4 linked regions of the Diceros bicornis minor genome follow. The protein of the gene in region 1 interacts with the protein of each later gene in a pairwise test. Links are inferred from orthologs where the notes say so. Each region holds a gene or a part of one and is shown in the gene's direction. Other genes may lie near its edges. The genes, in order: SDCBP, NADK, CDA and DRAP1.

Region 1 (7,211 bases):
CCAGGATCCCCTTCAACATCATCCTTCAACTCTTTTTGCCCCTCTCTTATGCTGAAGCCTCTGTGTTGTAGGAACCTTCTTACTCTCTTTTCCTTTTTCTTGTTGTATTCTTATTTTTGTGCAGCAAATATATATTTACTTTATCATTTACTTCCTGAGCTAGGGAGCATGAGAGAGAAACTTTTTGCTTCCTTGTATATAGAAAAATCTCTTCATTTCTACCGCACTTGAATGATATAGTTTAGCTTGGTATAGACTTCTAGGTTAGAAACCACTTTCTCTTATAATCTTGAAGGCATTGATTTATTGTCCTCTAGCATTGTCCTTCAAGCATTTCCAGTCCGTTCGGATTCTCAGTCATGGGTATATGACCTGTTTCTTCTACCTGAGAACTTTTAGGATTTTCTCTAATGTTCTAAAATTTCACAATGATGTGCCATGGTGTGAGTCTTTCTTAAAATGAACTGTTCTGGGTACTCAGCGGGTCCTATTAACCTGGAGATACCTGTTCTCCAGTTCTGTACTGTTCTAGCATTAGTTAGAACATTCTTCTTCTCATGTTCTCCTTCTGGAACTTCTAGTATTTGGATGCTTGACTTCGTGGATCAATCCTTGATCTTATTATTTCTCTTCTATTTACTATCTTTTTGAAATTTTAATCCTCCTTTCTGGAAGAAATCATTGACTTTACCTTTTAAAGCTTTTAGAAATTTTTTACGTTTTTGTCATTATACATTTTAATATCCAAGATGTCATTTTTAAAGCATAACATTTTGAATATTCCTTAAAAATATCATTCTGTTCCTCTTTTATGAATGCAATAACTTCTCTCTCTGAAAAAGATCAATGATGGACTTTTAACATTTTTTGTCACTGTTTCTTCCTATTTCTGTAAGTGAGCATCAGTGAGGTCATCTTGTTACACTAAATGGCCCCAGCCCCTCCTCTGTGTGACTACTTGCTGCTCTGCACATACTCTAAAAAAATTCGCATGCTCTCCTGACTCGTGGCCTCTGCTTACCTATGTACTCCCCTATAGCTTGACAAATTAAAACTTTGTTCTATGAGTTTCTCTCCAGGAACAGGTTGACCATAGGAGGGAAACACACCTACAAGTTATCCATCACACCTGACAGAAGACTGGAACAATGTGATGCCTGGAGCCTAACACGCCTGGAGAGCAACATCTCTGGACCCCCTCCCTACAGCCCATTTTCCCTACATAACTGCCTCGAGACTCTGTAATCCTTGAAGATGGTTTTTTTGAGACCTTAGTCTGCCATCTTCCCAATTATACTGGCTAATCAAATTAAAGCTTCCTTTCTCAATCCCTAACTCATTGTGATTGATTGGCTCAGATCATGGCAAGCAGAGTGAGCCCATTGCTCAGTGACATTTCTCTTTTTTTCCCTCTGTTTGTTTCTTCATACTAGAGGCTTCTTCAAATTTGGGGGAATCTTCGGGTATCTGCTCTTTTGTTTTTTTTTGCAGGGAAAGATTTGCCCTGAGCCAACATCTGTTGCCAATCTTCCTCCTTTTTTTTTTAATCTCCCCAAAGCCCCAGTACATAGTTGTATATCCTAGTTGTAAGTTCTTCTAGTTCTTCTACATGAGCTGCCACCACAGCATGGCAACTGACAGACGGGTGGCCATCGAAGCAGTGAGCACTGAACTTTAACCACTAGGCCATCAGGGCTGGCTTGGGTATCTGCTCATTTTTAAGAGTGGACTAAAAACAAAGATGGGGCATGGTAACTGGGGGACATCGTTACAGGGTGATTAGGTCAACTGTCAGTATCTTCAGGTCTTTTCTCTTGAGTTTCTCCAAAGAGGTATCTTTCAATCTACTGCCTGCATGGAGGCAGGGGATGGCAACAAGCCTGAATGTGAGCATCCCTGAAGCCAATGGACAGATGGAAAAAAGGGGACCAGGGTTTCACTATTCAGTATACAGATATTTACTCACCCTCGCTTCATTCACTAGGGAGTAAGTCTTCAGTTTTCTGTAGACATAGGTGATGGACGCATCAAGGTGATTCTGCAGATCAAGATGTTGACAGGGCTGGTTCCTTTTCAAGTCTCCAGGGGAGAATTTGTTCCTTATCTTTTCCAACTTCTAGAGGCTGCTGGCATCCTTTGGCCCATGGCCACATCATTTCAATTTCTGCTTTCTCCCTTACATCTTCTACTACCAACTTTGATCCTCTAGCTTCTCTCTCTCTCTCAATCTCCCCATCTCAAAATACTTAACCTGATCACACCTGCAAAGTCCCCTTTACCATGTAAGGTAAGATATTTACAAGTTTTGGGGATTAGGACATGGCCATATTTGGGGGGATATTATTCAGCTTACCACAACTGATAACTCACATGCCACTTCAAATTTAATAAATCCAAAAACAATCTTCTAATCTTCCCACCTCCTATTTCTCTCATCTTAGTGTACCCCACCTTAGCAAATGTGCCAACATCCACCTACTCGCTCATGCCAGAAACCTGGTACTTACCTTAGGTAAGATACCTCCCTATATTTAGTTCACATTACCAACTACTAAGCCTTCTTGAATCTTTATTCTAATATTGTTTGGATTTCTCTGATTTTTCTCCATCTTCACTGTAATTGGCACATCAGGACTACTGTAGTAGTCTCCTAGTGTGTCTCTGCACATCCCAGACTTATCCACACATCCAATCCATCCTCCAAGCAGTAACCACAGTAATCGTTTTACAATGCAAATCTAATCATGTTACTCCTCAGTAGCATCTGTACAGCCCTGCCTAATTCTCCAGCTTTTTCTTAAGCCATTCCTTCTCTTACTATTGTGTTCTGGCCAAAGTGGCCTTTCAGCTTCTGAAATGCATCAAGCTTCAATTTAACTGCAACGCTCTTGAGTTTGCTATTCTCTTTGCCTGAAACACTTTTCCTCCATTTTTCACTTGGCTAATTCTTACTCTTCAACTTTTTTTTTTTTTTATCAGGAAGATTAGCCCTGAGCTAATCCTCCTCCTTTTGCTGAGCAAGATATTGGCCCTGGGCTAACATCTGTGCAAATCTTCCTCTATTTTGTATGTGAGTCACTCCCACAGCATGGCTGAGGAGTGGTGTAGGTCTGTGCAGCGGTCCTGGGCCCTGGGAACCCAGGCCACTGAAGCGTGTGTGTGTGTGTGTGTGTGTGTGTGTGTGTGTGTGTGTGTGTGTGCAACTTAACCACTACACCACAGGGGGTGGGGGGCAGCACCTTGTGTCATTATTTTTAAATGTCTATTTTATCAGCTAGACCATAAACTCCCTGATGGCAAAGATTTCGTTTTATTTATTTGTCATCTCTTTTATGCTCAGATTTTTATTTCTTTTACCATAAATTACCGTGGCACTAAATTTGGCTAGAGATAAAATGCTCCTAAGTTAATGTTACTTTGTCAAGTACTTATGTTACTCCATGGGAACGATATGGTAAATGTAGGTAACTTAGGAAAACTGTCTCTCAGTGTTTTTGTACGCTAATGGGGTTGTTATACCTATCTAACAGCTTGATGTAAGGACCAAATAAGACTACATACATCAAGCTGTTGGGACAGCGCCTGGAATACAGTTAGCCTTCAAGAAATACAGTTTTTTAGTTTTTGAATTAGGATACAGCTACTACTTTTGTGCGGTACCACACATAACTTGCAACAGCCAAGGAACTTCAGGTTAGATGGACAGAGAGTAATAAAAGCCAAAGGAAAAAAGCTGTAACACAAAGAGGGCAGGAGTTGAGAAGCGTTAGTGGGAGGAATGTTTCTGAGCCTGAAGGTGGTAAAGCGAGAGGGTGGTGATGAGCTGGACCATAGTGGTGGAAGTCCAAGGTTGGCGAGGAAATCTCCAAAGGATAGGTTCTCAGGACTCTCTTTGTATTGGAGGTGATGGGAACCAAGTGACCACGAGCGCAAACCCCTCACAGTAGTGAGCGGGAGGCACTGGGCCCCCGGGCACGAACCATTAGGAGCGTGGAGAACGTGGCAAGCACAACAGGTGGCAGCGTGGGCAGCTCTACCTTCCCCAAGCCCGGGGAGCCGCGGCAGCGGCGCCACGTCCGCCCCCGTCACCCGCCTCCCCTCTGCCCCGTTACCTTGGGGACCGGGTCACCTGACTGCGCGCCGTGCGCCTGCGCGGGCCGCGGGCAGGGGCGGGGACGGCGCCGTGACGCGCCTCGCGGGCGGGCCTGGGGCGTGCGCCGTTCCCCTCCCCTCGGGTCTCGGAAGTCCGTGCCAGCGACCGAGGCGGCGGCGGCGAGCTGGTCCTGTGGCCTGGGTGAGCAGCTCTGGGGGAAAAGAGGGACGCTCAGCCGCGTCCCGGGCGTGGGGCGGAGGGGCGGAGGGGCGGAGGGGCCGCGGCACTAAGCGGAGAGCGTCTGGGTCGCGGCGGTTTCGGGAGGCGGGGCGGCGCCGCCGTCCCCTAGTGGGCTCCGCGCCCCTCCTGGCGCCCAGCCGGGCCCGGGGCGAAAGTTGGCGCGGGCGCCGTGCTCTGCCTGCCCGCCGCCGCCGCTCTCAAGGGCCCGCCGGGGCCGGGGCGCAGGGGCGGGGGCGCGCGGTCACCCCGCCGCAGTCAGCGGCTGCTCGGCGTTGCGGTCCCCGTCGGCGCTGTTTGTTCCTCCTGGAGAAGCTCCCCGGTGCCCGGGGCAGAAGGAGCCGGGCTGCGGTTCCCCACCCTGCTCCGCGTTCCTGGGCTGGACTCACTCACCTGGCGTGGTGCTTAATCGGACTGTCGCGGATTTGGAAGGAGGGAGGAGGTGTTTGTTGAGTGGGCGAAGCCTTGGCTTTCTGGAAGGGGATGGAGGAGAGGGTGATTCGCTGTGCGCTTATTTATGGAGAAATTGGAGGAAAGAGAAACGTTTCCAGCAGGGTGTGTGTTCAGAAGTAAGGTCCCTTGAGATCTAGTGACTCAGAGCTTTCATTTCAGGATTTCCTTGTAATAACGGGAAACTGAAGACATAGGGACGTGGAAAGTTTTCTTTTTCACCAAAGTGGAATTATGTAGTCATGGAGTCCTCTAATGTGCCAGTTTTTGAAAGGAATTTCTAGGTTTATCTAGTCTGTATATATTATCTGCATACAGATTTACCGCTGTTTTTTCTAGTGTGTAAGTACATTACTTACAGAGTACACTTAGTGTACCAGACTCTTAACATCTGCTTACTTCAAAGAGAAAAATAATTGATTAATAAGGAAAATTACATTGAAAAACAGCTGCAAGCTCTTAGCTTAATCGCAGGTATATATAAGTGATTAGTTTGCACTCAGATTTGTCCCGTCTTTAGTTTTTCTGTTTGAGGTTAAGGACAAACAGTAAAAAATGTTTTTTCATTTTGTCTGTTACCAACTTAGTTCTAAAAACTTTTGTAGTTTAAATGGTATGTAAATATTATAGATCAAGTGGTTTGTGCCACAGAATAAAAATAAGCAAGTGGAATGTGTTTTAAAAGATGCAGGAAATAGTCACTCCATTATAATCCAGATTTAACTTTGACAACATTAATTTTTAGTTATGTTTGGGCATTATAAGAAAGGATATAAAAATCACGACCAAAAGAGGAAGAATTTACTAATAGTTGGCAGTTGAATGTACTGTTGGGTAAAACAGTTCCTTAAATTGAGAATGATTCAACTATTTTTCCTGTTTTTGCCAAATTTAGGTAATTTTTAGGTAGTAAATGCTTAGAGTTTCTAAAAGGAGTCCCCCAAACAACTTTAAAATATATATATATCTAGTAATAGTTATATTAGCATTTGTTAATTTCTTTCCAAGTGATGTGAACAGTTTTTGTACATTTATTTAGTTTTTGAGGAGGTAAGCAGAAATATGGCTCAAAATTGAAGCAATAAAAAAGATACACAGTTTTAAGTCGTCTTCCTTCTAGGTCTTCCAGCTAACCATATTCCCTTCCTGTGGGAGCCAACCATTTTACGTTTTAGATATCCATACAGGGATATTTTATACCTATACAAACAAACATATAAATATACTTTCCCCCTTCCTTTTTTTTTGTGTGGTAAAATACGCATAACATAAAATTTACCATCTTAACCATTTTTAAGTGTACAATTCAGAGGTGTTAAATACATTGATATTGTTGTGTAACCATCACCACCATCCATCCCTGAACTCTTCATCTTGTAAAACTGAAACTCTGTAGCCATTAAACAATAACTCCGCATTCTCTCCTCCCCCCAACCCCTGGCAGCCACCATTATACTTTGTGTCTTTATGATTTTGACTACTCTAAGTACCTCATAAGTGGCATCATACAGTATTTGTCTTTTGTAATTGGCTTATTTCACTTAACATAATAGCCTCAAGGTTCATCCATGTTGTAGCATATTGCAGAATTTCCTTCCATTTTAAGGCTGAATTATATTCCATTGTGTGTGGATACATTTGCTTCTCCGTTTGTCTGTCGGTGGACGCTTGGGTTGCTCCCACGTATGAGCTACTGTGAATAATGCTACTGTGAACATGGGTGTACAGCTCTCTCTTCAGACCCAGATTTCAGTTCATTTCAGTATATACCCAGAAGTGGAATTGCTGGAAGTGGTAATTCTATTTTTAATTTTTTGAAAAACAGCTGTACTTTTTCTGTAGCACCTGCACCATTTTACATTCCCACCAACAGTGCACAAAAGGGTTCCAATTTCAGCACATCCTCACCAACACTTGTTGTTTTCTCTTTTTTTGATAGTAGCCATCCTAATGAGTTTGGGGTGATGTCTTGTAGTTTTGATTTGCTTTTCCGTAATGATTAATGACTTGGAGCATCTTTTTATGTGCTTATTGGCCATTTCTGTATCTTCTTTGGAGAAATGTCTATTCAAGTCCTTTGCCAGTTCTGTTTGTTTTTTTTTGTTATTGAGTTTTAAGAGCTGTCTAAATATTGTGGATGTTAATCCCTTATCAGATATGTTATTTCCAAATATTTTCTCCCATTCTGTGGGTTGCGTTTTTACTCTGTTGGTATTGTTTTTTGATGCACAGAATTGTAACATTTTCATGAAGTCCAATATGTCTGTTTTTCTTTTGTTGCCTGTGCCTTTGGTATATCCAGGAAATCATTGCCAAATCCAACATCGTCAATCCTTTGTCCTGTGTTTTCTTGTAAGAGTTTTATTGTTTTAGGTATTAAATTTAGGTCCTTGAATTATTTTGAGTTAATTCTTGTATATGGTGTGAGGTA
Region 2 (7,620 bases), on another chromosome or scaffold:
CCCTGTCCACCTGTCACAACCCAGACTGCCCTGTCCCATCCCCCTTTTGGGCCGCTTCCCCAGGCGCTGTGGGTCTCCCGAGGCAGCTGTCCTGCCGTTCTCACCTTGTCTGGGCCTGCAGCCCAGCTGGCGGCCATTCGTTCCTCTTCCCTCCCTAAGATACCTGAGGACATTACTCCAGAGACGTGCTTTCCTTCTGACTGAACGGTTTTCATCATAGTCTGAATAAAAAGAACTGCATCTTGTAAGAAAAAATGAGCATCAGGGCCGGCCTGGTGGCGTAGTGTGTAAGTTCCCACGCTCTGCTTCGGTGGCCCGGGGTTCGAAGGTTTGGATCCCGGCGCGGACCTACGCACCGCTAATCAGCCATGCTGTGGCAGCATCCCATATACAAAATGGAGGAAGATGGGAACAGGTGTTAGCTCAGGGCTAATCTTATTCACCAAAAAGAGGAAAATTAGCACTAGATGTTAGCTCAGGACTGATCTTCCTCACCAAAAAACAAAAAAAATGAGCATCTGCCACCAAGCATGAGAAACCAAGCTTGAGTGCGAGTGTCACCGAGGAGGGCGCTTGCTCCACCTCCTCCCACCTGCCCCTTCCTGTCTTCTCTGCTGAAGGACACAATCTTTATTTTCAAGGTTCTAATTTTCATGGGTCAAACGCTGGTACTTCATAAATAAGTGAAGACTGCTCTCAGTGGGAAGTATTCCTGCCGCAGGCTCCCTTTTCCACCACCAGGAAGCACAAGCAGCAGGGGCCTCCTGCTTTGCCTGGGGAGGGGCCTCGGCTGCCCCTGTCGAGGTCTTCTGAGTGTTTCTGCCAGGACCAGGGGTGCTGTCTCCTGGGTGACTGGCAGCCTGAACCGTGGGTTCACCTGGCTTCAACCTCCTCCTCCAGTTTTCCCTGAAATAAATCTGTTCTTTGCAAGTTTTAACGCTGCCAGCTGTCTTAGAAAATGCCAGAGAGCATCTGAGGTGCTCCCTGGGCTGGCAGCCGGAGTCCTCCAGAGGGAGGGTCTCCTGGGGTTGAGAAGCAGGGGCACACCAGCCCACGGTGGCCCACCCTTGGAGGGGCACAGGCAGGTACAGGGTCAAATGGAGCCCCAGCAAAGGCTGGCTGGCCGGCCCACAGACGGGCACTTGTTCCCCTCGGGAATCCCTGTTTCCAGTGCCCCAGCCTGGCACCAGCATGTCCCCTGCTCCCTGACCCAGTGGCCGCACAGCGCAGCCCCTCTACTGGTCTGGAGACTGCTGTCCCAGTTTCTCAGCAAAGCCCTCACTGAAAACAGGTGCCACTAGGGGCATTCCGAGAGCAGCTGGCAACCGGTGCTGCTGAGTGTGAGCTGCAATCGTTTTCACACTTCAGGCACAAACTCAAGTTTGGGAGCCTGAGCAGGGCCTGTTAGCACTTTGCCCCCGCAGCCTGACGCACTTGAGTGACATCTTGCTCTTGGCTGCGTTCCCTCCAGGGTGCCAGCCCTTCTCCCTTCCCTTCCTCCAGCCTCTTCTGCAGCCTCCGGCCCCTTGTGCCCGGGTTACCGGCCCCACTCGTGGTGCGATGTCCGCGCTCCGCCCACCGCTGCACCCCTGGAAGCCTGGGGCTCTCAGTGACCTCGCGGGCCCTGACCCCAGCCACCCGCTCAGCGTCTGGTGCTCACTTCAGCTCCGGAGGCAGGGCGCGCCTCCTCAGGCACCTGGCGCGCACGTGCGCTTGCGCAGGCACCAGGGCACGGGTTTCCCTTCGTCCCCAGCACCGAGCAGTGCCTGGCCCTTAACGCGGAGCCCGCCGTGCCCCTGCGACGACGGGGTCTTCGGCGCTCCCCACGCCCCGCCCCCACCACTCTGCTCTGAACCCCAAAACCAGCCCAAAGAGGAGACTGCCAAGTGGGCTATTCCAGACACTGGCCCCTGGGGAGGACTGGGTAAGGCCGGGCAGAGAGGCCAGACTTGTCCTAGGCGTGCTGGCTGGAGGCCAGAGGCTGGGAGATGGACCAGATGACCTCTGGAAAGCTGGAGACACTCACCTCCTCCACAGGGGGCTGCAGACCCTCTTAGCTGCCTGTCACCCAGGCTCCTGGCCACTTCCCCTACTAGGTGCTGAGCAGGCTCGGTTCACCACAGCCAGGCACAGCTGAGGCCAACTTCCTCAGAGCTAAGAGCAGGTTCCCGAAGAGGAGCATCCCCACCATCCCCTGCACCTGAGAGCCAGGAGCACCCCCCCCCCCCCCCGCCTGCACTCTAGAGCCAAGGAGTCCCCCAGACTGCACCCAAAATCCAGGGGCACCCCCTTGTCAGCTCTAGGTGGGCCGCCCCATCCTGCCCACCCTTCATGGCCCAGGCTCCCCCCTTCTCCTACCACCCACTCCACCTACCCCGCTGTATCATTCAAACCTCAGAAGAGGGTGGGTCAAGGTTTTGGGGGTCTGAAACTTCAACAATAGAGGAGCCATGTTTAAGAAAAAGAATACAAAGAAACAAATACCAAATCACATTAAGAGTTGCAGGTAGCCTGGTGCTGGGAAAGGTTAAGGCATCAGCATGTCCCCCACGGCCTGAGCAGGCTAAGGCAGACCCCTCATCCTTTGCCCAGCCAAACTGGCCTGACTGGCATCCAGCCCCCAGCCCCACACCGGCCTTTGGCCCCGCTGCTGGCCCTTCCCTCTCCCCACCACAGCTAGCTCATCCCTGCTCAGCCTTTGGACTCAGCTCATGCGAAACCTCCTGTAGGAACCTTCCGGATGCCCTAAGTTGCCTCTCCCAGCATTGGCCTTCGCTGTTGCAGGAAGCCCTTGGGGGACTGGGTATGAGCTCAAGGCCCCCGAATCCCCAGGGTCAGCCCCGGGGCCTGCTGGGGTAGACTGCACAACCAGCGTCAGCTGAAGGAAGCCACAACCCATGTTCTCATCTCTGAAATGGGGAAGCGCCCCTTCCCCGAAGTCTCGAGGTCCAGGGTGGACAGAGGGTGTCCCTGATCACAGACACGCACCTGCACAAGTTCCTTTTAGAGACGTGTACACAGGAAGGGTGCCTGCTGTGTAATCTCGGCTAGTCACATGGCCAGAGCTCGTGCCTCAGTGCCTTCTCTCAGACTGTCCCTGCTCAGAAGGTTCCTGGGAAGCCTGGCCCAGTGCCAGGCATGTAGCAAGTCCTGGATCAAGCATTAGTATTTTTATTATGTTAATGATCACATCCAAAAACACAGCTCAAAAGGCTTCTTCTGTGGGTGTGGCTGGTGGTCACTTTGGGGAAGCAGTCAGGTTTACAAAATAACCAGATGAGGAAGTTACAGAGCTTGAGAAATCCCCCCAAATTCCGGCTATCCTTGCCCCTCTTTCCACTCACGCTTTGTGACCCCACTGCCCAGTGGTCCCAGGACAGCAGTGAGACGTGTCCTGCTCTGTGTCCAGCCGTGTTCCAGGTCTCTAGACACAGAGCCAGGAATCCTGGCCAGAGAATTCTGACAACAGCAGGTACCCGGTGTGGGGAAGCCTGGGGGCCACCGGCCTGGTGCTCCATGTCCGGGAACCCCAAGTGTAGAGAAGGAATAAGGGCTGGCACTTGGGGAGCCAGGCAGGTTAGAAAGCAGCCCAAAGTGCACTGCCCGGGTTCATCTCCTACAGTAACCGTGCACCAACTTATTCACAGACATGTCCGAGGAGCCTGGCACACCACTGGGACACGACTTCTGAATGCACTAGTGATGGGTAACCGTCAATTCAGCAAGCCTTGGGAGAACCCACCCACCTCGAGGAGGTGCCTGGACTGGGGGAGGCCCGCAGCTACACCAGAAGCTACAAAGTTGGTACTGTGGCCTTGGCTCCCTTCCTCCCTCCTCTGGGTCCTTAAGTCCGGGGACGGGGACGGGGACGGGGGGGGGGGGGGGGGGGGACGACACGACAACAGTGTTGGCAGGTCACCCTGGAGGGGCCCCTTTGAGACCCTAGGCCCAGAGCCCCTGAGGTCTAGGTGGTGTGCAAGGACCCGCCAGGCTGCTTGGGGTGGGCGAAGCCCACGAGGGCCTGGGGGCAGGCTCGCTCCCTCCAGCTAAGCCGGCAGCGGAGGGGTGCGGTTCTGTCGCAGCTGCTCACACCGAATTTTGGTTCCCCAAACTTGTTCCTCCTAAGCAGAGTCACACCCTGGTAGTTATGGAATCCTCGGCGGGTGGTATCACCACTCGTGGGGGACCGCAGGCAGCCCACCTGGCCCGAGGTAGAGGGGAGCGGGGGCGGGACAGGAGCAGGTCAGCGGGCCCGGGCGGGAGGGCAGACGAGCTTCCCACGCGACGGAGTGAGCGGAGACCAGGTGTCGTCCTCCCGGGATCGCCGTCGAGGTGTGGGCAGCGAATGCCCCGTCCCCCGCCCCATGGCCTCCCCTCTACCGTGGCCTCCTTCCCCCGGCCCCCGGCCCCCGGCCCCCGGCCCCCGCCCTCACCCAGCCCGGTCCCGGCGTCCAGACAGACCGCCCCACGTGCCCGGGGCGGGCAGGCGCATGCGCAGGGCGGGCTGGGTGCGCGTGCGCACTGGCAGCGCGGCGGCTTTGCTGTTCGGCGGGCCGGCGCCGCGGCCCAGGTGGCCGTGGGGCGGGGGCGGCCATGGGGCGAGGGGCGGCCGCGGCGCCAGGAGCCGGGTAGCGACGGCGAGCGGCAGCCGGGGGGCGGGGCCCGCGGGCTCGGCCTGGCGAGAGGGAGGCCCCGCAGGCGTCCGCGGCAGCGAACGGTGAGTACGCGCGGCCGCTCGGCCGGGCCTGCCGCCCCGGGTCGCCGCTCCCAGGGGTCGCGGGGGGCCAGAGTCACCGGGGGTCGAGGGCGCTGGGGTCAGGGTCACCAGGGATCAGGGTCGCTGGGGTCGGAGTCTCAGGGGCCAGGGTTCCCGGAGGTCGGGGTCGCCGGGGATCGGCGTCTCGGTGGACTGGGTTCGTGAGACATCGGGGTCACGGGGGTCGAAGTCAGCGGGGGTCGGGTCTCAAGGGTCCGGGATCACCCAAGGTCGGGATCGCTGGGGTCGGGGTCGCAGGGGCCAGGGTTCCCGGAGGTCTGGGTCGCCGGGGGTCGGGGTCTCGGGGGATTGGGTTCATGGAGGACAGGGGTCGCGGGGGGTCGGAATCACCGGGGATCGGGGTTACCGGTGGTTGGGGTTGCGGGGGGGCCAGGGTTACGGGAGATCGGGGTCGCGGGGGGTCGGAGTCACCGAGGGTCTGGGTCGCGGGGGTCCGGGATCACCAGAAGTCGGGGTCACGAGGAGTCGGGGAATGGGGCGTCTCCGCGATGTGGGCCCGGGCCTGAGCGGGCCGACCCCGATCTCGGAGGACGGCTGCTGGGCGGCCCCGAGTCCGCGCTTTGGCGATACCTCCGAGAGCCAGTCCTCATGGGGTGATCAATTAGGTTAGAATGCACATGTGACCTGCCGATGCCCGCGGTAGGGGGCTGGGCCGGGGTCGCCCAGGGGCCTTGGTTCTGAAGGACGGGCGGGACACAGGGACTTGTGTCCTTTCATCCGGACGGCGCCCTCAGGCCCCTTCCCGGAGTCCCCGCGTCCTGTCCTCCGGGCACCCGAGCACGGGACGGCTGGGGGGGCCCCGGACGGCTGAGGGCCCCCGACGGCTGGGAGTCCCTGGACAGTTGGGGGGTTCCCAGCAGCAGTTCTCGGGGGTGGGGATTCCGGCCGACCAGTCTGTTCCCTGATAAGGAAATGGGAACAACAGTTGGTTTTATTGCGTATGTTAGTGCTTGAGAAAAGATAGGTTTAACCTGCAGAATGAAGAGGCGGGTGGTATTTTACGGGAGTTGATGGCCCCACATCTTTGTTACCTCCAATCACTATTTCTCTGTAGGCTTGGATGTTACAAGAGCCAGAGAAGCCCTGGGCGGGCAGGGGGCACTTCTGCCTGCAGGCCTCCTCCAGGCTTCACATCCTGCCAAGTGGGGGTCAGCTTGTAACTCCAGGATTCCATTTCTGTTGTTTGTGCTGGTGGCTTACCCTTTGCGGTCTCCCTACCCACAACTGGCATAAGGTCCAGTGCATGGGAACAGGAAATATGTGTCTAGACTACCCGTGAAAAGTGTTCAGAGGAGCCAGCAAGTGTGGCCCAGGAGGTGTGTGAGGGAGGGTGACACCTGCACAGACCCCTCTCCTCACCTGCCCAGGAAGGAGCAGCCACCTGTCTGTAGAGCCCCTCAGGTCTCTCATCCTGTTCAGTCCATGGGCTCAGGCACTTGGTTCACGTTGCCATCCAACTTTCCAAAAGGTCTTTCTTGATTTGTTCACTGCCAGTGCCCGGTTTTATCACTGTCTTTGCAGCATTGGGTGTTATTTACTGGGGGAGAAGAGAAGGGCAATTTCATAGGCACTTTTTTTCCAACTCAGTGTTAATTAGTGAGGTTGAACATTTTCCCATTTCTGTCACCAAATAAACTTTCCTTTTCCTTTTTTTTTTTTTTTGGTGAGGAGATCAGCCCTGTGCTAACATCTGCCAATCCTCCTCTTTTTTTTTTTTCGCTGAGGAAGACTGGCCCTGGGCTAACATCCGTGCCCATTTTCCTCCACTTTATATGGGACGCCGCCACAGCATGGCTTGCCAAGTGGTGCGTCGGTGCGCGCCCGGGATCCGTACTGGCGAACCCCGGGCTGCCGCAGCAGAGTGCACGCACTTAACCGCTTGTGCCACTGTGCCGGCCCCTAAACTTTCCTTTTTCATTCAGTATTTCAGCAAATAGGTGTTGAGAGCTCACACTGGAGATGTGTGTGTCAGTGAACAGTTGCGTGTGTGTGGCTTCTGCTGGGTCCTTCACCTGTTTCTTGGCGTCTCAGCGTCTCTGCTCACCACCCTGGGAGTCCTTTACCCACGAACACTCTGTTACTCTGCTCCAACACTTCTTCTCTAAAAACTTTCCAATGCAGACGTTGTCTTTTCGAATTAGATTCTTGCTGTCAGGAACTTGAATGAACTTGGATGGAGTTGGAATTTCATCCTTTTAAAACAGTAACATACCAAACAAAGTTGAATTAAATGTGAGATAAATTTTTTTTTTTAATTTTTATTTATTTATTTCCCCCCCAAAGCCCCAGTAGATAGTTGTATGTCATAGCTGCACATCCTTCTAGTTGCTGTATGTGGGACGCGGCCTCAGCATGGCGGGATAAGCGGTGCGTCGGTGCGCGCCCAGGATCCGAACCCGGGCCGCCAGTAGCGGATTGCGCGCGCTTAAAGCCACGGGGCCGGCCCAAATGTGAGATAAATTTTAAAAGCTGGTTTTAATATTTAATATGATTATTTTATGAACTCGTTTACTGCTTAGTCACCAAATTAGTCTTGGCAAGTGTATTTTAACAGCTTCTAGATATGTGTAATAGACGATTTTTAAAAACATTTGCCTTTTGTGGTTTTGATTGGTTTATCCTTTTTTTAATTTGCTGTTTGTTTTCAAATAAGTGTAGACTGACTCACAGAAAGTTGTAAAAATAGTACAGAGAAACCCCTGCACCGTTCCCCTGGATCTTACATGTCAATAATACAGTAATTTGAAAACCAGGAAATTGGTGTTGGAAAAATACCATTCGCTACCCTACACTCCTCATTCAGATTCCACCAGTTTTTACATGCGTGTGATTCTGTGCAGCTT
Region 3 (7,691 bases), on another chromosome or scaffold:
CGTGAGTGTTCCAGTCTCCCCTCATCTTTGCCTGCACTTGTCGTCATCCTAGTTTTTTTTCTTTTTGGCATTCTGATAGGTGTAAAGTGACTCATTGTGTTATTTTCATTTCTGTGACTATAAGGAAATTGGGCAAATACTTCCTGCCATTTGGGTTCCCCCTTCTATAAATTGCCCATTCATATCCTTTGTCCATCTCTTTATAGAGTTTCCTGTCTGTGTCTTGTTGATTTGCTGTCAATTTCTTACATAATCACTACGCTATTCGTTTGTTATTGTTCTAGCCATCGAAATTTTTTTTTCAGTTTTTTTAACCTTCTGCTAGCTTTGTCTATGAAGTCCTTGACTGAACAAAACTCCTTAATTTTTATGTGGCCAAGTTCGAAGACTTGAAAATTTGTAGAGAAGTTCTTTCCAGCCCTATTTCTTCCGTAAAATACCTGTTCAAGCCTTTTGCTTACTATTCTATTGAGATGTTTGTCTTTTTCTTACTGATTTTAGGAATTCTTGATGTATTATGGATCCTAATCCCTCTAGGGAGTGTTAACTCCCTGACATTTCTGGCCTCCCCTATGCATGGGCTAAGCACACTCCTGTGCCCAGGGTATGCATAAGGTAGGAAGCCATGAGTATGTCCAGGATCTATCCACTAAAGCTGGAGGTGGCCTCTGGGGTGGCTAAGGGGGTAGATGAGGCACTGACAGCATCTGCTATACCCACTGGATTAGTTCCCTGGGACCGCCATAACAAAGTACCACAAACTGGGTGGCTTAAAACAACAGAAATTTCTTCTCTCACAGTCCTAGATTCTGGAAATCCAAAATCAAGGTGTCAGCAGGGTTGGTTCCTTTCGAGTCTGTAAGGGAAAATCTGTTCCATGTCTCTCTCCTACCTTCTGGTAATGGCCATCAATCTTTGGCATTCCTTGGCTTGTAGATGCCTTACTGCAGTCTCTGCCTCCATCTACACATGGTAATCTCCCTGTGTCTCTGTGTCTTCCATGACCATCTTCTTGTGAGGACACCAGTCATATTGGATTAGGGGCCCACCATATTCCAGTATGGCCTCATCTTAACCAATTATACCGGCAATGATCTTATTTCCAAATAAGGTCACATTCTGAGGTACTGGAGGTTAGGACTTCAACATATCTTTTTTTGGGGGGGGGCATGATTCAACCCATAACACCCACATTGTCCACTCTGAACATCCAGCCATCATTTAGGACTCCTCTTAGCCTCCTGTCATCTGGGAAGCTTTCTCCAGCCCACCTCCCCACCGCTCCCTCCAGATAATTAGTTATTCAGTATTGTCACAGGACCCAGTACCTAATTGTGTGTTATAGTGTTTTATACCTATCTATTGACTTGCCTGTCTCCTTCACTAGAGTATGAGCTCCTCAAAGGCAGGTACCAAGTCTCATTCAACTGATTCTCTAGTGCCCTGCACAGGGCCTGGCACACAGTTTTCATTATAATAGGAGCTAATACTTGTTGAGCACTTACCACGTGCCGGTCACTGTGCTAAGAGCTTTACATATAACATCTCACTCAATTTTTACAACAATCCTAGGAAGTAGTATTTTAGCCTAGATGCCATAGAGCTGACAGAAACAAAACTTAAAAAAGTTTAAGCAAGAAGTGAATTACTGGCTCAATAGAAGGAAAGTCTAGAAGCATGCCTCAGGCATGGCTGGATCCAGGCACTCAGAGGGAAATCAGGGTTCTTTCCCTCCACCTCTCACCTCTGCCTCTCTCCACCTGGCTTCACTTTGCAAGCAGGCTCACTCTACCCGGAGGGCAAGCTGGCCGTCAGCAATAGTCACATCCTCTTAGCTTAGCCACCACAGTGGGAGAAACCAACATTCCCAGCAGAAAGGTGAGGTCTCTGATGGGCCATCCTGTGTCAACTGCCTAGGCCCACCAGGGAGTGGAAGCACAGTGACTGGCAGCCCATCAGGAGGTCTCCCCTAAAGGGGACGAAATAAAAGAAATGAGAAACCTTCTCGAGCAGAGTAAGGCTACGGTCACCATAAGCCACCCTAGGTGGGTCCTGGAGTTGTCTCACTGTATAAATGAGGAAAGCAGGGCACAGAGCGATGAGCTACCTTGCCTAGGTACCCAGCTGGTAATAAGAGGCAGAAGGAGGATTTGCCAGTCCGTTATACCCGCTCCGCATGAGTTCAGGGATGGACAAGAGTCCAGGATTCGGATGGAGGCAGACAAACCCGGGTTTGAGATCCATTTCTGATCCCCATGAGCTCAGTGTCCTCATCAGTAAAACGCAGGCAATAATATGGCCAGTGTGTACCTTGTGGTAAGGATTACATGAAATAATTCAAGTCCTGCATTTAGCACAGGGCCTGGCACATGGAAAGAGCTAAAGCAGAGTTAGCTATTATTATGAGTAACTATTCATTGAATGAATGAGTGGGTGGTATCTGAGCTCTAACACAGGGACTCTGGGTGGTTCTCTTCACAGAGGAAAGGCCTAGGGGATGGGGGTGGGGGAACTTTGGGCCCTTGACAATCTCCACCACCACTCAAAATACCTTCCTTGGATATTCCTATTCTTTGAGTTAATTCTTTGGGCAATTAATTTCTCTCAATTTTATATAAAGTGGAGATTAAAGCATGTTTAGAAAATTCTGTTAATATTATTGATCTATAACTTAGCTCTAAGAAAGTCTCCAGGCCCATGCTCCCTTTCCATCCAGATGGCCACCCCAAGCCCCTTCTATAAGGAAATCTAGAGCTACTGCTGGCTCCCAAGCTCCATACAGCGGAGTTTGCAATGGGCGCTGTCCCCATTTATTACCATGTGCCGGGAAAGAACTTCAAAGGTGCCAACGGCCATCATAATTAGCCTGGAAGTCATCCCAGTTTTCCTGTAACTGGGGAGCCAAGGAGTCCAGCCCTGGGTCTGGGCAGAGCTGGGGTGAGTCAAGACAGGGCAGGAACAGGCCTGGCAGGCCAGCAGGGCACCACACCCCTTTTCCCAGTTGTAGTTATACTTGGCCACCAGAAGCCTTAGAAGTATTCCCATGTTGAGTGGGTACACATGGTCCCAGGACATCCTTTGCTTTCTTTCCCTGGGGAAAGGGCATCTGGGCAGTGCAGGAATAGAGGAGACCGGGAGAGCATTCCCAGTGGTTTCTCTGCCTGCCCTGCCTCAGATCCAGGAAACTGCTCTAGATGCCAAAGGTGTAGATCCAGGAGGAAAATGCAATAGCAAGCAGGAGGGAACCAGCTGCTTCTCTGAGGGCTGGATGTGCAGAAAGGGGGTGGGGGAATTCTGAAGGGGGGAAGGGAGGGGAGGGGAGGAGGAAATGAGGCAAAGTGCCCAACTCTACAGTGGCCCAGCAGGGTCTCTACGTGGCTGAGAGCTCCAGGCCCAGGACACAGAGGGGCCAAGGTGCAGGACACAGGGATGCTGGGCTGCAAAGCACAGAGATGTCAGCATGCAGAACCTGGAGACGCGGCCTCATTTTCTGCCCCCTCCCCTACCGTTCCCCCTTCCCCTTCCTCACCCCCCATCCAAGCCCTCAGAGAAGCCGCTGATTTACTCCTGCCTGCTGGGGGTCTGGGGACATTTGGACACCTCTGGACACTGTTCTGCCTTCCTATGTGATCTTAGCCAAATCATTTAATGACAATAACCCAATCCGCATGGAGCCACAAAGTGTGCTAACATCATGATGTCACAGGATCCTCCAACCATATGCATTGTATACACATTACCTCATTCGATCCTCGCAACAACTCTGTGAAATACCGTTAGTGCACCCACTTTACAGATGAGGAAACTGAGGCTTAGAGGGGTGGTATGACCTCCACAAGGTCATACGGCTAATAAGTGGCAGAACTGGAATTCAAACTAGGATCTACCAAACCCCCACACTCAAGCTCTTCTGTGATCTGAGGACGTAGCACAGAGATTAACGCTATCCCCACTGTAGAGACCAGGAAACTGGCTTAGAGAGGTCACGTAACTTGCCACCCATTACACATGTGGAAAATGGTGGAGCCAGGATGCAAACCCATTTCTTTTAGCACCAACCCAGTGTTCATTTTGCCAACAAAAATAGGAGAAGGCCCCGGTAGATGATCTCTGAAGTTCCCTCCAGCTGAGATACTTTTTAAGTTCTGTGTTGAGGCAGCGAGGAGTTGGAAGGAGAATGGGTGAAATAAGGAAGCTCCTCAATCTTATTGCTGCACTCACACTATGTGTCTCAAGAATGTGGCTGCCCCAGCCCCTCCCTTTCAGCCTCACTCCTTCCCTCAGTGACAGAGAGAAGAAGTCATTCAACAGAGAGTTTCAGCCCTTGGAGCTGGGACTTCCTAGACCTCATGCTGACCCGCCCAACAGCATCTCCTCTGAGGAGTGTGTGTCCACAGTCACCCCCAGCATGGTGGCACCCGTCCCCTGACCCACTCACCCATCAGTGAGGCAGCAGTGTGAGTGGTCCCAAGGGAGAGTGTGAAGCACACATCCTTCCATGCTGGACACACACTAGCTCAGCCTTACACACCACACCCTCTGACTCAGAACTACTGGACACTCCTCTCCCTGAGCGGGCCCCGCCCAGCATCCCCGCAGGCGGGCATCTGGCAGCCCCTCCGCAGGGACACACCCGGGGGGAGGAGCTGCCGTCTTAGTGGGGCCCAGCTCAGGCAGACGGCGAGCTTGTTTCCTCTCCTCCGCAGCCCAGGAACCGACATGGCCCAGGAGCGTCCCGCCTGCACCCTGGAGCCCGAGCAGGTCCAGCAGCTGCTGCTCTCCTCCCAGGAGGCCAAGAAGTCAGCCTACTGCCCCTACAGTCACTTCCCTGTGGGGGCCGCCCTCCTCACCCGGGACGGGAGGATCTTCTCGGGTAAGGGCTGGCGCCCGGGGGCCCCATCCCTGGCAGCCTGGATGGGGAAGTCAGAGGACAAGTGGACAAGTGGGAAGGACACACAGAAGGCACAGGCAGAGAAGAGAGCAGCTCTGTCCCCTCCTCCCTGAGCATCCCCTGTAACGCTGCCACTCACCCCTGCCCTGCCCACTGGCCCAGACTGCGGGATTGAAGGTGTAAAGGAGCCCCGAAAACTCATCTGCTGCTTAAATCTAGGGGCTTTCAATTCTTGGAGGACTGGGAAGCAAGGGTGGGATGAGGAAGCAAGCTGGAGGGGAGGCATCCGCAGTCCTGGTGTGCGGGGAGGGAGAGGGTTAATACTTTCTGAGCCCTCCTCTGTGTCTGGACCCTCTAAGGCTCCCACAAGTTCTATCAGCAAGTCCTCACCTCCGACCCACTGACCTAGGTGTTATGCCCATTTTTCAATGAAGAAACTGAGGCTCAGAGAGATGACATGACTTGCTGAAGGCCACACGGGGCGCTGGTGGTGGAAGCCAGGGCTGGGGTCCCCAAAACCCTGCTTTTTCCCGTCACCCACCATGCTAAGGGATGGAGAAAGCCCGGAATCCAGGTCAAGTGACTTGTTTGTGGGGTGCGGGCCTTGCAGAGGGTCTTGGAGGAAAGAAGCCAGGCTGGGTTTGGGTGACCAGCAATGAGTGCCAGCCTGGGGAGGGGGGGACAGGAATCCGAGTCAGCACAAATCTGTTCCTAAGCAACTTTTCTTTGGTTTGTTGGTTTTATAAAAAAGCTCACTTGGACAAAATTTCACACTTGTTTTTGCTAAGTTAAGGGGCATTCTATTTCAGGACAGTGGGGAACATGCTGTGGAGGTGGCAGGGAAGCCAAGCCCCTCCCCACGCCTCTCATTCCCACCACCACCCCAGAGCAGATGAGAATTGGCACAGAGGGACGGACGGGAGCACCGAGTCCTGCTGCCTAGAACTCCCCCTCTGCTTGGCAGCAGGTAGTTAAAGGAGCAAAGACTCACATGTGTGCATCGAATTGGTAACCCCCAGCACCCTGGGCCAGGTGTGAGCCACTCGCCCCCACCACCACTCAGCTGTGAGTCTGCTGCGGCCCCCGCCTCACCTTCTATAGCTCTCCTTGATGTTCATGTTATCTCTTGTCTTTTGAGGTTCTGTCAGTTTCATGAGTCACCCGGGTTTTAAACATCTTTGAGCAGGAGAAGGAACCTTGAGTGAGTCCTAATACATGAAAGGAACGTGCCTAATGTTACCCATCTAAGCCTTAGAACCCCGCAAGGTGGTTATTACATCCCCACTTTGCAGAGAAGGAAAGAGGCTCCAAGAGGTTAACTCGCAAGAACTGGGATTCAAACCCAGGGCTCCTCTGACTCCGAAGTCTGCTCCTCTGAGGGGAACAAAGGATCTCTGAGTCTCATGTGGAAGTTCAGGCTTGGCCTGGTGGCTCAGACAGGTATTAAACATTGCAACCCACGCTGCCCCACGGCTCCAGGGCCATGAACATGGAATCAGCTACTGATTCTTCCCAATGCCTCCACATCTCCTCCAGACGGTATACAGGAAGGGGCCCTGCCCATCCTTGCATTGATTCATTCATTCCACAAATATTTGCCGAGCACCAATTATGTGCTAGGTAACGTACCAGGTTCTGGGGATATCACAGCAGAAATGACATAGTCCCTGCCCTTAAGGAGGTCCCCTCCTCTTGCACAGGCCATAGCTCAAAGTGGGATCCTCAGCCAATGATTATAGGAGTGAATGAATGAGGTGAGCAGGAGTGAAGCCTATTTAAATTGCAGAGAAGGACCTGGTGTCCCCAGAGAAAGGGTTGTGCAATGTGGATTCAGGGAGGCCCTGTGAGATGGGGTGAAGCTCGGGAGTTAGAGGCTCCTGGGTTTGAATCCTGGTGCTGCTGTTTATCAGCTATGTGACCCTGGGCAAGACCCTTGACCCTTCTGAGTCTCAGCTTACACGTGAGCAAACGGAGGATCATTACGCCCGCTTTTCAGGATGGCTGTGAACAGAGCAGGTTTGCGTGGCCTGGCGTGGCAGCCAGGGTCCCCCCTGACGTTTGGAGCCTGTGCTGCATCAGTCACTGAAAATGCTGAGTCTCGTGCCTGGTTGTGAGGCTTTGTAGGAGCTAATGCCTATGAAGGGATTGGCACGGTTTCTGGCCCACAGTAAGACGGTCACATATGATGGCTGCTTCTACTTGGACGATGATGATGATGATGACGATGAGGGGGAAGCGGATCGTGGAGGCCTTTTGAAGGCCAAACAGAGACATTGAGATTTGATGAGGTAGGAAGTAGAGAGCCCAGGAACGTTACTAAGAAGAAGAGCAACGTGAAAGTGGTGTTTGAGGACAGTTAGTCTGACAGGTACTCAAGGAGCGCTGGGGCAGAGGGAAGAGTGTCAGGGGGACCATGTCTGTCTTGTTTGCTGACCTGTCCCCTGTGCCAGCGCATTTCCTGGCCTGTAATACATCCTCAGTTAAGCTTCGGTGAACGCGTGAATGAGCGGCTTGGACTAGAACAGTAGCAGGTGGAATGAAGAGCAAGGAAAGATCTCAGAGATATTGTGTGGGACAAATGGACCGGGCCTGGGATTGGCAGTATTAGAAATAAAGGAAAGGAATATGGTTCTAGGACTTCCAGTGAGGTGGGCCGGGGGAGTGATGAGGCACGGACCGAGGTGGGAAGCTGAAGGCAGAGCTGGATTATGCTGGGGGCATGATGGGCAGGGACCAACAGCAACATTCAGAGACACGATGGATTGAGCACTCACTAAGCACTCGGTATGGAAGATCTCTT
Region 4 (7,041 bases), on another chromosome or scaffold:
GCGGGAGAGCTGGCTGTGGGGGCACAGGGGGGAAGTGGGAGGGGAAGCGGGCAGAGCAGGCAAGTGCAATGGTTTGGTGAAGAGAGAGTGAGGAATGGGCTAAAGCAGGGCCATGAGGCTGGAGAAGGGATGAGCGTGTCAAACGCTTAGTTATGGAAGGAGAACCAGGCGGTGTTGACACCCCTTGGGCATCTTTGGGGGACCCATGAGGGCCTTCCCAGGATCCCCCACAAGCCTTGGCGCACTTTGGTCAAGTGTAGAGCACTGACAGGCTGGGGGAGGCAGGGCACCAGGCTCCAAGGGGAGACCACTCAGCTCTGGGGACTTCCCAGGGCTGGGTTTAGGGGGGACTCAGCCCTGGGGAAGCTCAGGGTGGGGAGGAAGCTGGGGAGGGGGCTGAGCCAGCATCTCATGACTCACCCACTTCCACCCAGTCAGCCCAGTGGCATCTCCGCTCCCCTGCTCCAAATTCCAATTTGGTGAGGCTGCTGGAGGATGAGTCAGCTCCGGCACGGCACGAGAGCAGTGTCCTAAGGGGCTCCCTGCCAGACACCCTGGCCTCCAACCAAGGCCAGGGCCAGGCACGGGGTTGGGGGGTGCAGAGCCAGGCTCCGAGGCTGCAGCAGCCTCAGCTGATCGGGGTGGCCCAGTGAGATCACGTGAGGGAATGTGCCTGGAGCTCCCTGTGGGTGAAGCCAGGGACCACACTCTGCCTGAGGAGGAGGCAGGGACCGGGGTGCAAGGCCTAGCTCTGCCCGACTCACCACGACTCTGAGGGAATTCCCTTCCCCTCTTGGCCTCAATTTCCTTGACCACAGAATGGGACCAACATCTCCTTTTAAAGAGGTTGTGATTAAATAATGCATAAGGAAGTGCTTTGCAAACGTTCTGTGGCCCGTGATGATTAGGGTGGTGGGAGAGGTGAGTATAAACAGGAAAGCTTCCAGGGTCACTTATGGTTGTGCAGGTTGTTCACTGCACAAGGATGTCCAGCCTAGATTTCGGAAATCCAGCCTATCTGCTGCTCACCAGACCGTGTGCCCTGGCCCAGAACTTCTAGACCAAGAGGATACCTTTCTCTAACAGGCGCCAATACACCCTGTAGGTTAGTAGTGGCCCCTCGGACTTTGCTGGGTTGAGCCCCTGGATTTATGGGAAATCACTGAGAAACTGATTCTGATTCTTAGGATGGAGGGGAAGCAGGGCTGGCTTTGCAGAGGCTCTCAGAGAAGTTCTCAGGCTTTTTTTTTTTTTTTTTTGGTGAGGAAGATCAGCCCTGAGCTAACATCCATGCCAGTCCTCCTCTTTTTGCTGAGAAAGACCAGCCCTCAGCTAACATCTATTGCCGATCCTCCTCCTTTTTTTTCCCTTTTTCTCCCCAAAGCCCCAGGAGATAGTTGTATTTTATAGTTGCACATCCTGCTAGTTGCCGTATGTGGAACGCGGCCACAGCATGGCCCAACAAGCAGTGGGTCGGTGTGCGCCCGGGATCCGAACCTGGGCTGCCAGTAGCGGAGCACGCGCACTCAACCGCTAAGCCACGGGGCCAGCCCCTCTCAAGCTTGGCAGTGAGGAGTATCTTATTATTGGGGGATGTTAGGGGGGCCCCATCAGAGCAAAGGGGCAGTCTCTCCTGGCCCTGCGTCTCTCCAGCAACCAAAGCAAGTAACCACCAACACAGTATTTTAAAAAACACTCAAGACACAGACCCAATCTGGGTTTTATTGAAATGCCAGGAGCAGGCACATGACAAGGTAGTGAAGGAAGGGAGAAAGGTGGTGCAGGCTGTGAGGGGGCAGGGAGGGACAGGCCCCATGTCCATGGCCCGGGCATCTTCTCTCTCTGCCCAGGGCTGAGTGGGCACACTCATCCCCCCAACAAAATGGCATGCTCAGGCCTGCAGGGCCTCTGCCTGCTGGTCTGTGAAGGCTCCAAGGAGAGAGACTGGAAGCCCTAAGTCTTTTCTCTTGTGAGGGAGGAAGAGAAAAAGGGGAAGATGCAGGAGAGGGGGGAGGTACAGCCAGGGATGAGGGCAGCCAAGGAAGGCTCTCCTCCTGGGGGTCTGCACCCAGCCTGCGGTCCTCGATGGCAGAGGGGAGCAGCAGCGAAAAGAGAGGCTGAGGGTCCGGCCCTCAGGGAGCCAGAGCCTCCAGGGAGCCAGAGCCTCCAGCCGGTGGGGACTTGAGTCAGCCCTGAACAGAGGGCAGAAGTTCAAGGGGATTGAAGATGCAGACAGTTCCCGAGTGACCTAGTCCTCAGAGCTGGGGGACTTGGCCTCCTTGGGACAAGGAAGACGGGAGGATCCATCCCTGGCAGGGAGGGCAGAGAGTGGTCTCCCCTACTTGGCCCTACTAGGTCAGTTCCACGTTGTTGGCGCGGTCCAGCACACGGGAGCCGCGGGCACTGCCCCCCAGCTGGAAACGGCTCTCATAGAGCGTGGGGCAGAGGTGCCAGCGGTTGGCCCGGTAGATGCCCAGGTAGGTGTAGACGTCAGGCTTGTAGGTGAGCAGGCACTTAATGCCTGCTGCACGGATGGCTGCATCGGCCTCCAGCACACCCAAGCGGTCCGTGAAGTCGTCCGTGTAAACACAGATGACCTGGCGCCCACCCTCCCTGGCCCGTGGGCTCACCTTGGCCACCTGAAGCCGGCCCTCGACCACGGCCCGGGCAATGCCGGCCCAGGCGTGGTCCAGCTTGAAGCCAGGTGCCAGGTGCATCAGCCACTTGCCCGAGAGCACGTGGTGGGTGATGGCCAGCTGGCGCAGGGTACCTGGCGTGATGGGCCGCCCGCTGGTCTGCAGAGCTTCCCAGGCTGCCTGCAGGCCCTGCACGTCGCCTGAATTGGGGACGTAGCCCTGCCCATATGCTGCAATCCAGCCCACGGGCTCCGAGTTGGGCGAGCCAGGGTCGCCATAGCGGGTAACTTGGGATGGCGGGTACTTGGCCAACCAGGCATCCAGCTCTGAGGCAGGTGTGGTGCGGGCATCAAACACCAACCAGGGGTCCATGTCAGCTGCCATGGCCTCCGCGGCCAGATGCTCAGCAGTGAAGCCATCCTCCCGGCCGCCTGGAGAGTCCTCCTCCTCCAGCTCCTCACCTGGCTCCATCCTGAAGCGAGGGAACCGAGTTAGGGCAGGTCCAAGACAGATCTACAGCTTACTGGGCCCTAGAAGGGTGCTAGGCACTAAACTAAGCTGTGTGGCTTTGGGCAAGACTTAATGTCACCGTTCCTCTGTTGCTTCATCTTTAAAATAAGTAACAACTGTTCCTGCCTTGTAGAGCTGTTGAGAATTAAATGCCTGACGCGGAACACGAGCTACGTAAGTGTTGTTGCTAATGTTATCACTACTGTCCCTGACTTACAGATAGGAAACTGAAGCTCAGAGAGAAGGGACTTACCCAAGGTCACACCTGTAGAGAGTGACAGGGCCATAATGTGCATTCAGGTGTGGAAGCAGCCGGCCCAGCCACACCTCCTGGCCCTGCCAGTCACTGGCAGGTCCCCGAGCGCCGGGATTTAATGGAGGGAGGAAGACAGGCGCGCAATCGCGCAGCACTGGGGCAGGCCCTGCAGGGCCAGGCCTCCCGGGGGGGTGTCATCGGGCCTATTTAAAAACCAGGACATTGAAGCCCAGAAAGGGCTGTGACGGGTCCGAGGCCAGTGGGGCGGTGCCCGGACTCGAACCCAGGCTGGTGGGAACCTGCGGGAGGGCCAGCCGCCGGCCAGCCGCGCCCGCCGCCATTAGCGCCCACGGCCCGAGCTACGCTCCCGCCCGGCCCTGCCCCCTCCCGCCGCCCAGCCGTCACCTCCGGCCTTCGCTGCGCTCGGCGCCGGCCCAGCCCCGGGCCCGGCTCCGCTCCTGCCGGGGCTCCGCGCCGCCGCCGCCGCCGCGCCCCGCCCCCGCCACGGCTGCCGCCGCCGCCGCCATCTTAGCGCCTCGCCGCCTCAACAACAACTTTATAGACAAGCGCAGCGCGGGGCGGGGCCCCCGGGCCGGATCGGCCGCGCCGCGGGGCGGGGCCGACGAGGGAAGGGGCGGGGCAGGTGGGGGCGGGGCTGACCCCGGGGGCGGGGCCGTCAGGGAGCCCGGGGAGGGGCGGGCCTGCGTGGGCGGGGCTAACGTTCGCTCTCCTGGCCTTGGGCGCGGGTGGGAGTGGCGGCCCTGTCCCGGACCGACGTGCACCGCCCGGGAGGCTATAAGGGGAGGGCACTCGAGCCCTGGGAGCGGCGTCTTGACTGGCGGCGCTAGGACCCCGTGGGGAGCGGCAGGGGCGGAGCAGGCGGCGCCAGGACCCGGGGGAACCGCGGCGGGCGGGCGGCGAGCAGGCCCCGGGGCCGGGAGGCTGCGGGCGGCGGCGCTGGGCCCGGCGCGGCGAGAGAGTCCCCGAGATGCCGAGCAAGAAGAAGAAGTACAACGCCCGGTTCCCGCCGGTGAGCACGTGGCCGGGCCCGGGAGGAGCGGCCGGGCTCTCGTGAGGCTTGTGCCCAGGCCCCGCTGGGGGGGCGGGCGCTTCGCGCTGTTCGGGGGCCCGGACGCCCCGCCCCCTTCCGTGCCCTCCCCGCGTCCGTGCCCCCCTCCCCCCTTCTCCTGGGATACCCCCCTCGCTCGCCCCCAGCACCCCTTTCTGGGTCGGAGGCCACGGGGTCCGAGCTCTCTCCCTTCCCCAGGCGCGGATCAAGAAGATCATGCAGACAGACGAAGAGATTGGGAAGGTGGCGGCGGCTGTGCCTGTCATCATCTGTATCCTGTTGGGGGCTGGTTGGGTTGAGGGACGTGGGAGAGGGAGGCAGCCCGGGGTCGCCTGTGTGGGCTGGGGACCCCCCTAGCTGCGTTCTCCTTGACACCCCTCAGCCCGGGCACTCGAGCTCTTCCTGGAGTCGCTATTGAAGAAGGCCTGCCAGGTGACCCAGTCCCGAAATGCCAAGACCATGACCACATCCCACCTGTGAGTGGCTGCGGAGCTGAGAGGGCTGAGTGGGGCCGTGCCCCAGGAGTTCACACAGTTAGGGGCGGCTGCGTTCTTATAGTGAGGGAGGTGGGAGGCTGCTGGGAAACCAGCCAGGCCTCCAAGACTGGTGGGTTTGAACTGGGGGAGGAGGAGTTGGGTGTTCCAGCAAAGCGGGGGAGGTCGGGTGGTGGAGATGGGGTGGAGGCTTTCCAGGCTCTGTTCTCCTGACATCCAGAGCCTCTTACTGTCCCTTGCTGAGGACCCAGACATCTGGGCCCCACCTGAGTGTCATCCCCTCCCCATCTCTTCCAGGAAACAGTGCATTGAGCTGGAGCAGCAGTTTGACTTCTTAAAGGACCTGGTGGCATCTGTGCCTGACATGCAGGGGGACGGGGAAGACAACCACATGGATGGGGACAAGAGTGCCCGCAGGTGGGGACCGAGGGCCAGTGTGCAGGTGGAGAAGGCCAAGGCCACCAGGGTTGGGGGTGGCTGGGGGGTGATGAATGGGGGGGTGACCTCTGGGCAGATGGACTGTACCTTCTCGAAGGGGCCGGAAGCCAGGCAGCAGTGGCCGGAAGAACGGTGGGATGGGAAGCAAAGGCAAGGATAAGAAGCTGTCGGGGACAGACTCGGAGCAGGAGGTGAGTGAGGCCCCCAGCCCTCTGTCTCGTAGTGTGCAGAGGGCAGGCTTGTCTCAGGCCGGGCTGGCTGGAGCCTGGTTCCATCCTCACCTCTTATCTCTTTGTACCTTGGTTTTGTTGTTTATAAATTGGGACTATGGAGGTCACCCTCCTGTCCCTGCTACTCTCAGGGGTTTGTGCTTTCCAGTGATGAGTCCATGCCTTTCATGTCACTTCTCATCCCTACCTTGCTACCAGGATGAGTCTGAGGACACAGACACCGATGGGGAAGAGGACACACCGCAGGCCCCACCCCAGGCCAGCCACCCCCCCGCCCACTTACAGAGGTAAGCAGCTCAGTGGGCGCCAGGAAAGGGCCAGCAGACTCCCCAAGGCTGACTTGTCCCTCCTGGCCTCCATGACCACTTGGATCTATTGGTTGTGGCAGATTTGGGGCATGGGAAGGGAGAAACTGAGGAGGGCTTAAAGGTAGGAGACTGTGCTCTCCGAAGGTCCCTTCCACTCTTGGGCGGGGCAGTGGATGGGGCCTGGGCAGGGACTGTGTGACCTGCTTTGGGCCCTTCCCTTCTCTGGGCTTGGCTCCCTATTGGTACCGAGGGCGGTGGGCTCCATGCTGCCCGTGTGGAGGGCAGGGGGTGGCTTAGGGGTCAGGAATGAGCAGTGGCCTGACCTTCCTCTCCTGTTTTCTGCCTAGCAGCCCCCCGACACCCTTCATGCCCTTTGCCTCAACTCTGCCTCTGCCCCCAGTGCCCCCAGGCCCCTCAGCACCTGATGCAGAGGATGAAGAGGATTATGACTCCTAGCGCCCTCTGCCCCCCAGGCCACACCCCTTTTTAGTTGGTTTTGGTTGTTCTGGGGGGAAGAGAGAAGGTAGAACTGTTCTTAAATTTATTAAAAAAAAGAAATAAAAGGGAATGCCAGTGTTTGTCCCAGCCTCTGTCTAGGGCTTTGTGGCCACCTTGCCATCTTTTCACCTGCCTTCTCCACACTGAGCTGGGGCCAGGAGTGGTGGTGGGCCAGGCAGCAGCAGAGTGAAGGGAGGGGCTTTACGTCACAGTTATGCCAGGGCAGGCCCAGTGGTGCTGAGGGAAGGAAGGCGGGCAGGGTGGTGTAGGGCCTGAGCCAGCAGGTACCCATTATGCCGGGAGACAACCTGTTTCATCGTGCTGTGTGACCCTGGGCAGGTTCCTACCCTTCTCTGAGCAGCCTCCTCGCATCTCTCTGATGGAGACCATTCTGTCCCTGCTAGGCTGCTGCAGAGGGATAGATGCGACAGGTAACAGAACAGGTCTTGAAAACTAGAACTTGGGCCAGGTGCCACGAAGGGTGTGAGAAGGGGCACTGGGAGCAGAGGTGGGCGAGATTGTGGAGGGCCTTGAAGGCTGGCTCACGAGAGAGCAGTGACACAGCACCACACCGGCTGTGGCCACTGTGAGTGGTGCAGGTG

The links.
Region 2: the proteins of SDCBP (region 1) and NADK interact in binary tests that used the Homo sapiens proteins (3 or more experiments, as listed by UniProt). The two-hybrid records come from large-scale screens. The link is inferred for Diceros bicornis minor from reciprocal best matches to the Homo sapiens genes SDCBP and NADK.
Region 3: the proteins of SDCBP (region 1) and CDA interact in binary tests that used the Homo sapiens proteins (3 or more experiments, as listed by UniProt). The two-hybrid records come from large-scale screens. The link is inferred for Diceros bicornis minor from reciprocal best matches to the Homo sapiens genes SDCBP and CDA.
Region 4: the proteins of SDCBP (region 1) and DRAP1 interact in binary tests that used the Homo sapiens proteins (3 or more experiments, as listed by UniProt). The two-hybrid records come from large-scale screens. The link is inferred for Diceros bicornis minor from reciprocal best matches to the Homo sapiens genes SDCBP and DRAP1.

The regions. Positions count from the first base shown.
Region 1 is NC_080772.1:11,906,277-11,913,487, forward strand, and holds the start of SDCBP (syntenin-1), read left to right. Parts: upstream 1-4,193; 5' UTR 4,194-4,294; intron 4,295-7,211. UniProt on the Homo sapiens protein: Multifunctional adapter protein involved in diverse array of functions including trafficking of transmembrane proteins, neuro and immunomodulation, exosome biogenesis, and tumorigenesis.
Region 2 is NC_080752.1:22,581,508-22,589,127, reverse strand, and holds the start of NADK (NAD kinase), read left to right. Parts: upstream 1-4,619; 5' UTR 4,620-4,717; intron 4,718-7,620.
Region 3 is NC_080752.1:37,612,611-37,620,301, forward strand, and holds the start of CDA (cytidine deaminase), read left to right. Parts: upstream 1-4,674; 5' UTR 4,675-4,719; coding exon 4,720-4,873; intron 4,874-7,691. UniProt on the Homo sapiens protein: This enzyme scavenges exogenous and endogenous cytidine and 2'-deoxycytidine for UMP synthesis.
Region 4 is NC_080770.1:7,367,902-7,374,942, reverse strand, and holds DRAP1 (dr1-associated corepressor), read left to right. Parts: upstream 1-4,219; 5' UTR 4,220-4,390; coding exon 4,391-4,432; intron 4,433-4,669; coding exon 4,670-4,742; intron 4,743-4,853; coding exon 4,854-4,947; intron 4,948-5,262; coding exon 5,263-5,382; intron 5,383-5,479; coding exon 5,480-5,594; intron 5,595-5,831; coding exon 5,832-5,920; intron 5,921-6,291; coding exon 6,292-6,397; 3' UTR 6,398-6,526; downstream 6,527-7,041. Other genes in the region: C31H11orf68 (UPF0696 protein C11orf68 homolog), read right to left, coding at 2,352-3,108, 3,808-3,929. UniProt on the Homo sapiens protein: The association of the DR1/DRAP1 heterodimer with TBP results in a functional repression of both activated and basal transcription of class II genes.